2 linked regions of the Anolis sagrei genome follow. Each later gene encodes a partner of the first gene's protein in a complex. Links are inferred from orthologs where the notes say so. Each region holds a gene or a part of one and is shown in the gene's direction. Other genes may lie near its edges. The genes, in order: STRIP1 and PDCD10.

Evidence for each region.
Region 2: STRIP1 (region 1) and PDCD10 share a complex: the UniProt entries of both Homo sapiens proteins name them as parts of the core of STRIPAK complex. The link is inferred for Anolis sagrei from reciprocal best matches to the Homo sapiens genes STRIP1 and PDCD10.

Annotation. Positions count from the first base shown.
Region 1 is NC_090024.1:183,921,010-183,928,611, reverse strand, and holds the start of STRIP1 (striatin-interacting protein 1), read left to right. Parts: upstream 1-4,292; 5' UTR 4,293-4,325; coding exon 4,326-4,472; intron 4,473-7,028; coding exon 7,029-7,098; intron 7,099-7,602. UniProt on the Homo sapiens protein: Plays a role in the regulation of cell morphology and cytoskeletal organization. Required in the cortical actin filament dynamics and cell shape. Part of the striatin-interacting phosphatase and kinase (STRIPAK) complexes.
Region 2 is NC_090023.1:250,379,074-250,387,080, reverse strand, and holds the start of PDCD10 (programmed cell death protein 10), read left to right. Parts: upstream 1-4,836; 5' UTR 4,837-5,006; exon of another isoform or gene 5,007-5,016; intron 5,017-5,065; exon of another isoform or gene 5,066-5,227; intron 5,228-8,007. UniProt on the Homo sapiens protein: Promotes cell proliferation. Modulates apoptotic pathways. Increases mitogen-activated protein kinase activity and STK26 activity. Important for cell migration, and for normal structure and assembly of the Golgi complex.

The DNA of each region.
Region 1 (7,602 bases):
TTCCTCATGATTTCCCACTCTGAAATAAGGCTAGATAGATTTCATCTTCTCTTATGAGTTGCTAGGGTGCTAATATGAATTGAAATGGATATTGCCTATCCACTTTAATAATACTTTATTTATAACAATAAAAATAACACTTTATTTATAACCTGCCCTCTCTTCCCATCACTCCATGGATTTTAGGCTTTCCTCTTCTTCCTCTTCTTCCAATCAAGACAGCCCAATACCTTATTTAAAATGCAGTGGATGAGAATTCCTTTTGCATCTAGCTTGGAGAAAATTTAAAACCGATAATTTCAGTTGCTGAATTCCTAAGGCCCACTATGAAGCAGATCAGCATATTTGAGCTGAACCATCTCTTGTACTTTATTCCTTCATTTGCACAATACAGGAGGTGCTTGGATGATAATAGTAGCTTAAATTCTCTGATCCCATAAAGAATTAGTCATTTATGTAAAACATTTTCTTCCATCTTCAGGCTTCATTTGTAGCAAATGAATTTTGAAGGCGGAATCCCACTTCATTGGCACTGCCGTTTTAAATGCTCTGCTGTTTTAATGATCTCAGTTCTGTTAGGCTGGCATGTTAAGTTAACATACAGTCCATATTTTAGTGCCATGAAAATGAGGGGAGGCTTCCGCATGGATGGGGGGGGGGGGGTATTAAGTTAAAAATGGCAGTTCAGGCAAATATTGCCTGAGTCTGATTATTGCAAATATGTGCTGAAGTCTTGAGGGGCAGTAAGAACAAGCCAGAAACTACTGTGAATCATCGTGAATACATGACCAACCTTGAACTTTCTGCCTTTTCATGTAATCTTTGCAGAAGACATGATGTAAATACAGAAGATGACATTCCTAATTCCATCTTCATGAAATCTGTCCCACTATTCTTATGTAGGTGTTATCCTTCACTGAGAAAAATAAATTGCCTGTGATGAGGAGCCTGAGCCACCAAACCTTAGCACAACCGCCATGCTTACTCTCTGCCCCTAAATGACTGTCCTGTAGTATCTTTTGTACCAGATGAGTGTTTGGTTTCAACTGGCCTTGCAAAATGGTGCTGGCTAATGACAGACTTGAATTCAGGATCTCCCTCGGCCTTTTCAACTTGCAGCCATCCCATTCCCCAGAATCCGATTTTAGGTTCAGCCAGCCCTAATAGAATCAGTTCTTTCCTTTTTGTATCGCAGTCCTCCTCTTGTTTCTTGATTCTCTTATCACACATTTTGATCCTAGAATTGGCTTGGGTCCCTCTAAGCCAGTGGTTCTCAACCTGTGGGTCCCCAGATGTTTTGGCCTTCAACTTCCAGAAATCTTAACAGCTGGTAAACTGGCTGGGATTTCTGTAGGCCAAAAACCTGGGGACTCACAAGTTGAGAGCCACTGCTCTAAGCCAATGTGAGTGAATCTCCAAAACTCCTCCGTGATGTTCAGGAGGATACCTTTATTCCATTTGTCTGCCTCTGTGTTGCAGTGTCAATAGATGACTTAGCTAAGGGCTCCATCTCTGTATAAGCCATGGAATAAACTCTCATGCCTGGCAACACCTCAGTTTGGTTGGAGGGAGCATGTTATAGCATCAACCCAGGTGGGGATAGGTTTATTTTGTATATGAATGATTTTTAATGAATGCAATATTAATTCTTGCAGATGAGCAATAAATCATTACGCAAAGTCTAAATAAAATGGTTAGAAAATTACCTTTGCTTTGATTTTTTCCCCTTCTGGATGAATAGCCAGAAGTAGCAGTTTCAAAGGTACTGGAGAGGAGACAAGCTACCTGCCAGTTTCAGTGTTAGATCTCAGTTTTTATATTATTCCCTTGGAGAGCCATGTACCTTTCTCCAGGCAGAGTAAGAAAGTATATATTAATTGAGTACACTGATGGATACCCATCATATTGAACAACATAATACAGATTTGCTATTCCAAGAAGAAAAATACTTTGAGATTGGGGAAAAAACAGATATTGACCATAAAGAAGTGATGAAAAGTCCTGGACTCATTCTTCCACCATCATTACTAATGGACATTTTAAAAAGGGACTTCTGATTACAGTTATCTTTTTACTACAAGGCATGTTACTGGCTAAATAAAACTGAATAAAACTAGTTAAAATTATTAATATTGAACTGGGGAAGTAATTGACAGGGCATTGCTTCAATACTCTTTAAAATGTATTTTCTTAATAGGAATCCTTTTCTTAATAGGGACGTTTTAAATATAGGATGCAAAATTGTGCTTAGACTTAGCTTTCCTAAATGAATACGCAATGGGGTCATGCACAAGTCATGCTTCCCCAGCTGAAAGTGAGCCTGCTTTTGCTAATCTTTCATTTGAAACATTAAAGGGACTTCCATTTTCATTTATCCATTTAAAAGGCTGTCCTATGATAGGAAGCTCTCAGGGTGACTTAAAGGATTAAATACATGGGATAAAATCAACAGTAGTAAAATGCATGCTACTGAAATTGCAATGCAGCATGAAAATCGATGGACGATGATCAAGTGCAGATAATACAAAGAGTGAAAGAAAGGTAAAAGATGGTGCACCAAGATTTAAAAGCTCTTGTTGGTACCGAAAGAGCAGTCGAATTAGGTGCCAAGTGTATTGCTTTAAAGAAGGCATTATGTAACTAGGACACTACTAAAAAGCACCCAGTTTTCTCATCTTGTGGAGGTATCTGAACAAAAGCCTCTAAATGTAGGATCCAGGTGGGTATAACCAGGAAGAGACAGTCCTTTGAGCATCAAGCTCATAAGCAGCTTAAGAGTCATAACCTACACTTCTGTTCAGTTTTAGAAACAAAATAAGAAGAAATAAAGATGTCAATAATACTGGCCAACACACCTTTTGGTGCCTTATATGTAAGACCTGTCTGTTTCTGGGTATGTTTGACCTGCTGATTCCAAAAATGGCACCAGTTTTCCCCCCTTACAACTCTATTTTTTTACATACAGAACATATGCCACCTACCAGTTACCATCTGCTTTCCCATAGAAAATCATAACTACATGCAAGAAACTTTCTAATGCAATTATCTAAATCAATACCCCCAAATAATCCCAGAAACAGTCTTAAAAACCAAGATGTCAATATATTTTAATTGGGCTGTGTAATAGGTATTACAGGATAGCATGTGAGGTGCTAACTCAATTTGAGATTTAGCATAAGAATGGAAAGAAGCCATGAACAGAAACCTTCCGAAAGAATCTAGAGATCAAATAAGTCAACGAACCCTGCCATGATCTGTCATTGAAGATGAAGGAAAAGAGCATCAAATCAGATGAATACTGGTGGAACCTCAATTTGTGGGCTCATATCATGATACTCATAATAACGGTTAAAGGTAAAGGTTTCCCCTTGACAGTTGTGCCCAACTTTGGCGGTGGTGCTAATCTCCATTTCTAAGCTGAAGAGCTGCCATTATCAGTAGACGCCTCCAAGGTCATGTGGCTGGCATGTCTGCATGGAAAGCCCTTACCTTCCTGCTGAAGTGGTACCTATTGATCTACCCATATTTGCATGTTTTTGAACTGCTAGGTTGGCAAAAGCTGGGGCTAACAGCGGGAGCTCACCTCGTTCGGATTCAAACCTCCGACTTTTCGGTCAGCAAGTTCAGCGGCTCAGTGGTTTAACCCGCTGCGCTACTGTTCCATTATTCTAAAGGTCAATCATCTTGGTTAGAAGAGAGGAAATTGCATTTTTAAAAGAAAATTTCCAACTTAACAGATCCCGACGATTCCTGTCTCTGGGTCTGACCTTGTGATTTTGTCTCTTGCCACTCCTCACTTTGCCACACACATAAAGGCATAAAAGGGGAGAAAGGTCAACAGTTGTTGGGAGCCTTCAGGTGGTTTGTTTCTAACCAATGCAACCCTATGACTTATGACTGGGGGTGTTTTTTAAAACAAGGTTTGTTCAGAAGAAGCCTTTGCCTTCCTCAGAGGCTGAGAAAGTGTGGCTTACCCAAGATCACCCAGTGAATATAAATCAGGCATGGCCACACTTGGGGCCTCCAGGTGTTTTGGACTTCAACTCCCACCATTCCTAACAGCCTCAGGCCCTTTCCCCCCTCAGCGGCTGAGGGGGGAAAGGAAAGGGCCTGAGGCTGTTAGGAATGGTGGGAGTTGAAGTCCAAAACACCTGGAGGCCCCAAGTGTGGCCATACCTGGCCTAGCCACTCCAAACATGGCTCCTGCGCGGGGAGCCGCCGTCTAAGTCTATCCGCCACTCTCAAGATGGCGGCGTTTCCGGCAAGCTTGTTGCTCTGCCAAGTCTCGCGAGAGCTGTCGGCGCGACGTCGTCGTCGTCGTCGTGATGGAGCCGGGCGGTGTCGGGGGTCCGGGCGGCTTGCTCATTGTCAACAACAAGCAACGGAGCGGGGCGCTGGGGCTGGCCACGCCGCCGACGGGGCCCGGGGGAAAGGGCCGGGAACCCAACCGCAACCAGCGGAAGGACTCGGAGGTCGGTGGGAGAGGGGGCCAGGGGGGTTGGCTGGCTGGCTGGCGCGGGGGAAGAGGCAGGCTCCTCAGCTCACCTGCCAGGCAGGCCTTGTGTGTTCCAGGCACAGGCCCATTGTCAGCCAATAGGAGCTGTGGTGATAACGCCTCAATGGTACCACATCCTGGCTGATCTGGGAAAGCTAAGCAGGGTCAGTCCTGGTTCGCACTTGGGTGGGAGGCCGCCAAAAAGTACCAGGTGGGAAGGCAATATTTCTTCAGAGGAATGAAGTGGCACGTTTTGATACCACTATGTAACAACATTTGAATTGTTTTCTGTTCCTGGTTTGAAAGTGTTATGTCCTGTTTACTTGTGCACTCCTTACTTTGAAAGTAGTTGTTATCCTCCAGAAACTTCGTTTTTGTGGCTGCCACAAACTATGTTGAATTGACTGAGGCCCCATGAGATATTCATTGGAAAACTATAGCAAAACGTGCTGCAGGATGTCCCGCAAAAACAAATTATTATTATTATTATTATTATTATTATTATTACAAAGTCCACATACCATAAGAGTTTTCAGTCAGAGGTATAGTAGCGGTAGATCATCATCTAATCTTCCTCCTCTCTATATGCTAATGAGCAAAGGTAAGAGTTCAGTTGTTCTTTGGAGAGAAGGGATATTATGGTGTTTGTTTATATTTTGCTTTTCCTCTCCAGAAGAAGAAAATTTTTGCAGTTTAATAAACCTTTTCAATGTTTTTATGATAGAACCAATTAGGAAATGACATTGAAACCCAAGGACAAAAATCATATTGCTTAGTGTACTCAGCTAGCAGCTATTTGTTCAGCCATACATGAACTGTTGACCTTGTTTGAAGAGATGATGGTGCCTACATCCATTCTTTTTGATTTAGCATTTGTTTTTAAATCTTGGCATGGAAAACTATCAATGGGTGCATCTACACTGTAGAATTCATACAGTTTGACACCACTTCAACTGCCCTGGCTCAATGGTATGGGTTATAGAATTTATAGTTTGGTGAGGTGCCGGCACTCTTTGGAGAGAAGGCTAAAGACTTTGTCAAACTACAGCTCCCATGATGCTGTAGCACAGAGTGGAATCAAACTGCATTCATTCTATAGTGTACTTGGGTGGGAGACCACCAAGGAATAGCAGGTGCTGAAGACTATGCTTCAGAAGAAGAAACTGGCAAACCCACCATTGACTTTCCCTAATCTAAGAAAGTTTGCAAAATTAATGGTATCTCCATAAGTCAATTGACCATTTTAAGGCGCATACACACACACAGGTAAATGCATTTATATTGAAGAAGAACTTTTCTAATAGTGATGTAATCAGAGTTACAAATTCCTTCTTAAATTGCAATTTGTCTGTCCAGCCATGCACCCACTGCTGGCATTGTTGAAGCACAGAGCTACAAACCACTCAAACATTCTCTTGTAGTGTCATGACACTTCTCTACATGTGAAATCTTGTTATAGGTATATATTCTTTTTATTACAAACATGCCAGAATTACATGCTGTTAAGACATACATTTTGGGGACACACACTATGTGTATGTATATAGATAGATGAATAAAGAGAGAGGGGAGAAAGTGATTGAACTGTTTACCTCTCAAACTGAAAATCCCTCCACTGGCTGCCTTCATGGGAGCTTTTGCTTCCATTCTCATCATACTTGGGAGCAGAGACCTTTCTGAAGTCCCATTGAACTTGGTTGTACCTTACTTCCAGGTAGATAGTCTAAGGGTACATGTGCACTGTACAATTAATACAATTCAACAACACTTTAACTCAGTAGTTCCCAACCTTTTCTTGACCAGGGACCACTCTCCAACATTAGTACCAAAAGGGTTACGAAGCAGTTTTTGGTCCATTTTAGATTCTGTTTGGTTATTTGGGGTGCTGATTCAGAAAATTGCATTGGATAGACCACATCAGCTCTAGTTTCTGATACAGAACATATGCCATCCAGTAGTCGCCATCTGCTTGCCCACAGAAAACCATATTTAATAAGCCTCTGTACTATAAGAGGGTTTTGCACGACCAGTCGCTCTCGTTGCAACGGTGTAGCAACTGAGTCTGCGGACCATATTTTAGTTATTACGCACCACTGGTGATCCATAGACCACAGGGTGGAAATCACTGCTTTAACTGCTGTGACTCAGTGCTATGGAATCATGGGAGTTGTAGTTTATAAGGTATTTAGCCTTCTCTGCTGAAGAGGGCTAGTACCTCACCAAACTACAAGTCCCATAACTCCAAAGCATAGAGTCAATGGCAGATAAAGTGGCATCAGACTGTAAAAAATCTACAGTGTAGATGCGCCCAATGACTTTCAGGATGACTGGAGATTGACACTTGCGTAATGTAGCAGAGCAGGCTTGAGGGAGGGGAAGATTTATGCAATCCTTTCAGGATGAACAGGTTACCATGGTAACTATGAAGCTGTGGGTGGAAAGTTAAGCAATGTTTAATACTGAACCTGCCTTAGTCAACAGGATTTTTTTTTTAATTTACGTTGCCTTATCTCAAATTTAATTTATTTTGTAGGGCTTCTCAGAATCGCCAGACTTTGAATTTGAATATGCCGATACAGACAAATGGGCTGCTGAACTGTCAGGTAAAATAGAACCCGGCTTAGAGTTGTTCCTGATCTTGCTTTCTTTTGAATCATTTCATTAATCTTTGTAATGAATACTGAGATTTCAGAAAAATTAAATATTTGGAGAATGATGCTCTTATTTTTCTAAGGAATCCTGTGCAAGGAAAGTATAAACAGAAATCTTTGTAAAATGGAAAAGGCACTCGTTGTACATTATATTATGATTTCCATTTTTGTTAAATGCTGTTCTTTTTGCAAATTCAGTCAGTGTAATAGGTTGGATCCAGATTGACGTCTCTATATTTAAAAGGCTGTCTTGTGTCTCTGTATTTGTTAAAATACAAAACGATCTCAAATCATGCTGCTGATGTTTCAGCAAAGCACTGTCTTCTTTAAAAGCATTTATATTCTGCCCTTCTCACCCCGAAGGGGTCTCAGGGTGGAGCACAACATATAAACGGCAAACATTCAATGCCGGATATAATTACACTATACACCTACATAAACATTAAAATCGGAGCT
Region 2 (8,007 bases), on another chromosome or scaffold:
CTTACTGGTGCATTATTTAAACTGTTATGTTTATTCATATCATTATCTGATCACCATGCTCAATATATCCCATATGCATGGGGGTATTGGGGTAATAATACAAAAGGTTTGCTAGGCTAGACCCTCTTTCACTCAGACTCAGCCCCCCCCCCCCCCAAAACTCAGCCCCCCCCGAAACCCCCCCAAAAATTTTTTAGCCCCCCCCCCGAAACGAAATCCTGGCTACGGGCCTGGTCAAGGATCTTCACAGCTAGCCTCTTCCCTGGGCACATTTACACAAATTTAAGTCCCACAGAGTTCAATGAAACATAGAATGAATGAATGCCGTTTGACACCACTTTAAAAGCCATGGCTCAATGCTAAGAAATAATAAGAGATAATAATCATCATCATCATCATGAAGCTGACAGAGGGAGCTCTACCTGGATTTGAACCTCCGACCTGTCAGTCTTTAGTCCTGCTGGCAGAAGGGTTTAATCCATTGAGCCACTGGGGGCTCCTAACAAACTCATGATCCCCTAGCATTGAACGGTGGCAGTTAAAGTGGCATCAAACTGTATTTGTTCTACAGTGTAGATGCCCTTCCACTCCCAATAAAGAAGTGTAGACTCACATCCTTAGTAAAAAAATTGAGGGAGGAGGCTACATTGCAGCAAGAGAACAAAAAAAAATATTGTGGAATTTTAAAGACTAGTTGGTTTTATTTGGCACAAGTTTCCATAGGCTACACAATCCATTTCATGAGATGTAGCCTGAACAACAATGTGAAACCAAATGTAGAAATCGCATGGAAAACCTGTATATAAACATTCTTCCCTATATTATTTCAATATCTCTTTTCTACTGCGTACAGCCTTCTTTCTTTTCTTTAAAAGCATCTGGAAACACTAAGTGACAACCTCATTCGAAGTCAGTGACAAAATTGCTCATTATAAAGATTTCCATCTGTACCAACAGAGATGAAAGAGACCAATTGCAAAGCCTAATGGCCATCTCAATGGACCGACATTCTATATAAAACTTTTGAAGAGATAGATGTCAAATACGGTACTCATCTTTACAAGAACCAGTAATGTGGGAGACGCAACACTATAGGATGAGCTAGGGATAAATACTGATACTGCCCAATTCTGAACCAACTCTATCTATCTATCTATCTATCTATCTACACAGACACACACACACAGACAGATAGATAGATACTAGCCGTTCCCTGCCACACGTTGCTGTGGCCCACATGGGGGTTCTGTGGGGGAGGTTTGGCCCAATTCTATCGTTGGTGGGCTTCAGAATGCTCTGTGATTGTAGAACTATAAATCCCAGCAACTACAACTCCCAAATGTCAAGATTCTATTTTCCCCAAACTCCACCAGTGTTCACATTTGGGCACATTGAGTATTTGTGTAGAGTTTGGTCCAGATCCATCATTGTTTGTGTCCACAGTGATCTCTGGATGTAGGTGAACTACAACTCCAAAACCAAAGGACACTGCCCACCAAACCCTTCCAGAGTTTTCTGTTGGTCATGGGAGAACTGTGTGCCAAGTTTGGTTCAATTCCATCGTTGGTTGGGGTTCAGAATGCTCTTTGATTGTAGGTGAACTATAAATCGCAGCAACTACAACTCCCATATGACAAAATCAATTTTTTTGAGTGAAGGACATACATTGGGTTGTTAAGTGTCTTGTGTCCAAATTTGATGTCAATTTGTCCAGTGGTTTTTGAATTCTGTTAATCCCATAAACGAACATTACAATTTTATTTATACAGATGTGTGTGTGTGTTATTTATTTATTTATTTAGGCATGTGTAGTCCTTTCTCAACCTCTGCAGAGGAACTCAGGGTGGCTACCAACCGGCAAAGCACAGTGCCAACAACAAAGTAAAAACAAGCATATATACACATATTATAATAAAACAGATATAAAAATTCATTAAAACAGTTTGCCAATTTAAGTCGTCATCCTAGAAACATTCCATTAAAACAGTAAGTCAGTCTACTCTGCGAATGCTTGATCCCACAACCAGGATACATATATATGAAAAAATATACTGACTTTACCTAGATATAGATATATACCTCAAACGATATTTCGTAGCATTACTTTAACTCTTGAAGGGTAAATGACAGTGACTCTCAACTGCAAACACATACAAATCGGGGATTCAACCAGTAAGTCAGTCTGCTCTGCAAATGCTTGATCCCACAACCAGGATACATATATATGAAAAATATACTGACTTTACCAAGATATAGATATATACCTCAAATGACATTTCGTAGCATTATTTTAACTCTTGAAGGGGTAAATGACAGTGCCTCTCAACCGCAAACACACACAAATCGGGGCTTACGGAGAATGACAAAGGGGGAAATGCCCATTATCTTTGAGCAAAAGGAGCATTTGCTATAATTATTCCATATAATCAGTTACTTCACAAAATTCAATACAGGGAGGGGAAATGACTGCAGGTAGAAATTATTTAATTTGCAACATCACTGTTAAAGCTTGCAGTGGCGGAAAGGAAGAGAGACAACAATATATCCTCATAGGTTGCTAGCAACAGGGGAAAACATAGAAAAGCCTCTGGGAAGTGATCCAGCACTTAGCTGAGAAGATGCTTGGGAAGGAAATTGGGAGAGGGTGAAGTTAAGATACGGGGAGAGCTGCCCAATTAAATAATAATAAAAATAACAACAACAATAATAACAATAAACAATAATAAACAAAAAAATTTGTTGTGTCAGGAGCAAGTCGCTTCTGGTGTGAGAGAATTGGCCGTCTGCAAGGACGTTGCCCAGGGGACGCCTGGATGATTTGATGTTTTTATCATCCTTGTGGGAGGCTTCTCTCATGTCCCCGCATGAGGAGCTGGAGCTGAAAGAGGGAGCTCATCCGCCTCTCCCCGGATTCGAACCTGCAACCTGTCGGTCTTCAGTCCTGCCGGCACAGGGGTTTAACCTACTGCGCCACCGGGGGCTCCTGATAATATAACAATAATAATATAACAATATAACAATATTATTATTATTATTATTATTATTATTTACTGCGCTTATATACAGCAATTCTCAGCCCCAAGGGCGACTCATTGCGGTATATTGTTAATATATTGATATATTGATAATATATTGTTAATATATCCTGATAATATAACAATAATAATATAGATCTCACAACAATAATAATAAACAATAATAATATAGACCTCGTTTGCTGTGACATACTGCATTTTGTGTCTGTCAATTAATAATAAATAATTTATGAAATTTTTAATAATTAGTATAATTAGAGGAAAGAATGAAAACTTGTCTATATTTTTCTAATCAAAATAAAGAGGAGTGGGAAACAACCACTATCCTGATCTTATTCAGTGGGTTCAAGTTATGCTACTGGAAGATCTGCCCAAAATAATAATAATAATTGCATTTTGGGGGAAATATGTAAACTAGTTTATTGTTCCCAAGCAAAAGAAAGGGGAAGATGAACCATCCACTACTAAATTCCTATTCAGTGGAGCCAAAGATCAATTATATTCACTCTTCTTCTCAAAGGAAAGACATAAACAAAAGGGGAGAGGCAATCAAGCCTTGCAAAGAGGTGACTGGCAGCAGAGCTTACCTGCCCCAAAGGTGCTTTCAAGAGCGATGGAGAGAGATGTTCCAGATGTGGCTCCGCACTCAGAGCCCGCTGCTTCCTTCGCCGGCACCGCCTCAGGGATTGTTTCTGGTGCGCCTCTGCGCTGGGAATGGTTTTACTCCGCAGGCCCGCCCACTTCCCCTTCGCTCCGCCCCCTTTCTGCCTAATATGGAAAACGCCACGCCCCCTTTCTCCCGATTGGTGTATCGCTTCTCCCCTTCTTATGCTTCTTCGCGCTTTCTCTCCGCCCCTTTTTTTTCCAAATATGGGCAACGCCACGCCCCTCACTCCCTTTTGGCCTCCCCCTCCTCTCCCTTTAAGATGCTTTCTCTCCGCCCATTTTGTTCCTAATATGGGCAAAAGCCACGCCCCCTTCCTCCCTATTGGCTTAGTCTTCCTCTCCCTTTCGGATTCTACTTCTCAATGTCTCTCCGCCCACTTTCGTCCTAATATGGGCAAAAGCCACGCCCCTTACTCCCTATTGGCCTTTCCGTCCTCTCCCTTTCGGGTGCCACTTCCCAATGTCTCTCACTTCGTCTATTCTGCCTTCAATATAGAGGTAACGCCCCGCCCCTTGCTCCCTCTTGCCCCCCTCCTCTCCCTTTCGGATGCTACTTCCCAATCTCTTTCTCTCCGCCCACTTTTTCCTAATATGGTCAAAAGCCACGCCCCCTTTTTCCCTATTGTCCTCCCCCTCCTCTCCCTTTCAGATGCTACTTTGCAATGTCTCTCTCTCTCTCCGCCCACTTTCTTCCTAATATGGGCAACGCCCCGCCCCTTACTCCCTATTGCCCCCCTCCTTTTCAGATGCTACTTTCCAATCTCTCTGTCTCCGCCCACTTTCTTCCTAATATGGGCAACGCCACGCCCCTTGCTCCCTCTTGGCTCCCCCTCCTCTTCCTTTCGGATGCTATTTCAAGATGTCTCTGTCTCCGCCCACTTTCGTCCTAATATGGGCAACGCCACGCCCCTTACTCCCTATTGGGCTCCCCCTCCTCTCCCTTTCGGGTGCTGCTTCCTAATGTCTCGCTCTTCGTCTACACGCCACTTGCTCCCTATTGGGCTCCTCCTCCTCTCCCTTTCGAACGCTACTTCCCAATCTCTCTCTCTCCTAATATGGGCAACGCCACGCCCCCTTCCTCCCTATTGGTCCCCTTTCATGAGTCTCTTGCGGTCTTCGCAAAGCATCTCGGTAGTTGTAGTGTTCAAGGCGCGACTACAGGCCCCGTGGGCCCCCGCGGTCGCCGGCTAGTTCCGGACAACGCCTGGTGTGTGGTAACGACGGCGGTGGCATAGGAGAGAAGGAGGACGCTGCTACTTCCGGCCTCGGCGAAAGAGGAGCCTCGAAGGGCGGACAGGCAGGCGGGTGAGGGGAGGTGAGGCGGCCGCTGCGCGCTCTCCTTCGGTAGTAGTGGGGTCGCTGGCAGGGCCTGGCCTGCGGGGCTTCGAGGACGGGGTTGGCCCCTGGCAAGCCGACTTGAGGGCAGGCGTCGGGCCTAGTGGCTTGGCTGAGGAGAGAGACAGAGAGAGAGGGGAACGCGGTTGGTTCTTCCTAGTCCCCGAAAGAGGAGGCCCTCCTTTGCTGAGGTATCCAGCCCGAGTGGCGGGGAGGAAGGAGAGGGAATTCGGGGAGGTGGACTAGGCCTCAGCCTGGAGGTCAGGGTTCAGGAGACCCATTGGGTGACCTTGGGCGAGCCACACTCTCTCAGCCTCAAGGGCAACCCCCTCTCTGGAGAAATCTTGCCCTGTGATGGGGTGCCTTGAGGGTCACCCTAATTAAGGAACTATTGAAGCCATGGGGAGGATTATATGTATTTATACCCCCACTTTATCTCCCCCAAAGGGGACTCAAGGCAGCAAAACATAAAAGCATTTGCATAACCCAGGCATGGGCAAAATTTGGCCCTCCCTCCAGGTGTTTTGGAATTCAACTCCCATAATTCCTAGCAGCCGGTAGGCCAGGCATGGGCAAACTCCAGCCCTCCAGGTGTTTTGGACTTCAACTCCCATGATTCTTAGCAGCCAGTAGGCCAGGTATGGGCAAACTCCAGCCCTCCAGGTGTTTTGGACTTCAACTCCCATAATTCCTAGCAGACGGTAGGCCAGGCATGGGCAGACTCCAGCCCTCCAGGGGTTTTGGACTTCAACTCCCACAATTCCTAACAGCCACAGGCCCTTTCATTTTTCCCCGCAGCCGCTTAAGCCGCTTAAGCTGCTGAGGGGAAAAATGAAAGGGCCTGTGGCTGTTAGGAATTGTGGGAGTTGAAGTCCAAAACCCCTGGAGGGTCGAAGTTTGCCCATATCTGCAATAGGCTGTTAGGAATTGTGGGAATCGAAATCCAAAACACTTGCCTGGCATAGCCATTTGAAAGATACAAACATTGAAATAGTATTTTTAAATTCCCAGTTAAAAATCATCCAAACACATTCACAGTTGAAAACCACAGCAGCCGCCGTGAATTATTCTTAAGATGAGGAGAGACAGGTAAAAATGGTATTGATTGTTGTTCTTGAAGGCACACAACAACAATGGCCATAAATAAGAAATTGGTAGGTGCATTATATTGCGGAGCAGGCATGGGCAAGCTTCAGCCCTCCATCCAGGTGTTTTGGACTTCAACTCCCACAATTCCTAACAGCAGGAATTGTGGGAGTTAAAGTCCAAAACATCTGGAGGGCCGAAGTTTACCCAGAAGACCAAAGTTTGGGAACAAATGCAGTTTTGCAGCACTTTAATTGCCGCAGCCCATTGCTATGGAATCACAGGAGCTGTGGTATGATTCAAAAGACGGTCTCAAAGCTAACTTTAAAAAATGTGGTATAAACACATTTTGATTCTTATGCAGACGTGATGTTTTGGAGGAGAGACAGGTCAAAATGGTATTGGTTATTGTTATTGAACTTACACAACAACAACAATGGCAATAAAGAAGAAATTGGTAGGTGCGTTACATTGAGGAGTGCATCTACACCAGGCATGGGCAAACTTCAGCCCTCCATCCAGGTGTTTTGGACTTCAACTCCTACAATTCCTAACAGCCAGTAGGCTGTTAGAAATTGTGGGAGTTGAAGTCTAAAACATCTGGAGGGCTGAAGTTTGCCCAGAAGACCAGAGTTTGGGAACAAATGCAGTGCTGCAGCCCATTGCTATGGAATCACAGGAGTTGTGGTATGATTTAAAAGCCGGTCTCAAAGCTAACTTTAAAAAAATGTGGTATAAACACAGAGAACTGGGAAGCCCTGCCACCCCAGCATTGTAACAGGAAGTCAACATTTACAAACGGTGCAATGGATTTTGAAGAGGCTGGAGTGCAGGGTGTAACAAGCCAAGAGGAAGTCGCACCCTTTGTTGTGACTGCCTTCCATCTTGAAATTGATGTCCTCATTGCGAAACGCCATGCGGATCTAGCATAGGTCTTCACAGGGCCCTTCCAGACAGGCCCTATATCCCAGGAACTGATCCCGAGTTTTCTGCTTTAAACTAGATTATATGAGTCCCTGTTGCCAGATAATCTGAGATGAGATCCCGGGATATAGAACCTGTCTGGATGGGCCCACAGTCACAGACCCACCATCAAGAATCTACCTCTGGAAGATGATCATATGCAGCCACGAGGGATTGCCTACAAGGTCTTTATCCTTCCCTAGTAAAATATACTGATGCCTGACCAAATTACAACTCCCATGATTCCATATCATAGAACCATGGCAGTCAAAGGGATTCCAAACTGCATTAATTCTGCAGTTTAAATGTGCCTAAGCATAAATTAACCAAGGAGTTTGGGGGGGTTTTTTATAAGGTGGAAAAAAAATAATGGGGATGGCAGGAGGAAGAGGTAGTAGAAGTGAGGGTTTTGTTTTCTTGGTGTTGATAGAGAAAGTCTGGCCAGAGCCAGCTGTATTTGAGGAAAAATAAGGTGCCAGTCTTAAACAGTAGACTTGGATTGCCAACAAATTCTTTGTTGCTTATAGTGGGCCCTTGGAATCTGCCAGGTTTTGGTTCTAGGACTCCCTGCGGATACCAAAAATTGTAGGTTCCTTATATAAAATGCTGTTCCTTATATATAATGGTGAAATCAAGATTTGTCTTTGGAAATAGTTGAATCCCTGATGTTGAACTCATGGATACAGAGAGACTGACTGTACTTCATTACTGTGCTTTTGCTTCCAGGGATGGGGAGTGGTGGCGTTCCGCCTCATTTGCTGAAATAATTAGGCAGGCTTCAGAGTTTTGGTTTCATTGACTTCGGTGACATTGACCATTGTTTGCTATTCTTTCTCAGGCCACAAAATGTATTGGGCCAACCCTGAGTATGGCCCACTTGGACTAAGGTTGGTTGTGGAAATGAGAATGGCATGTTCTCCCC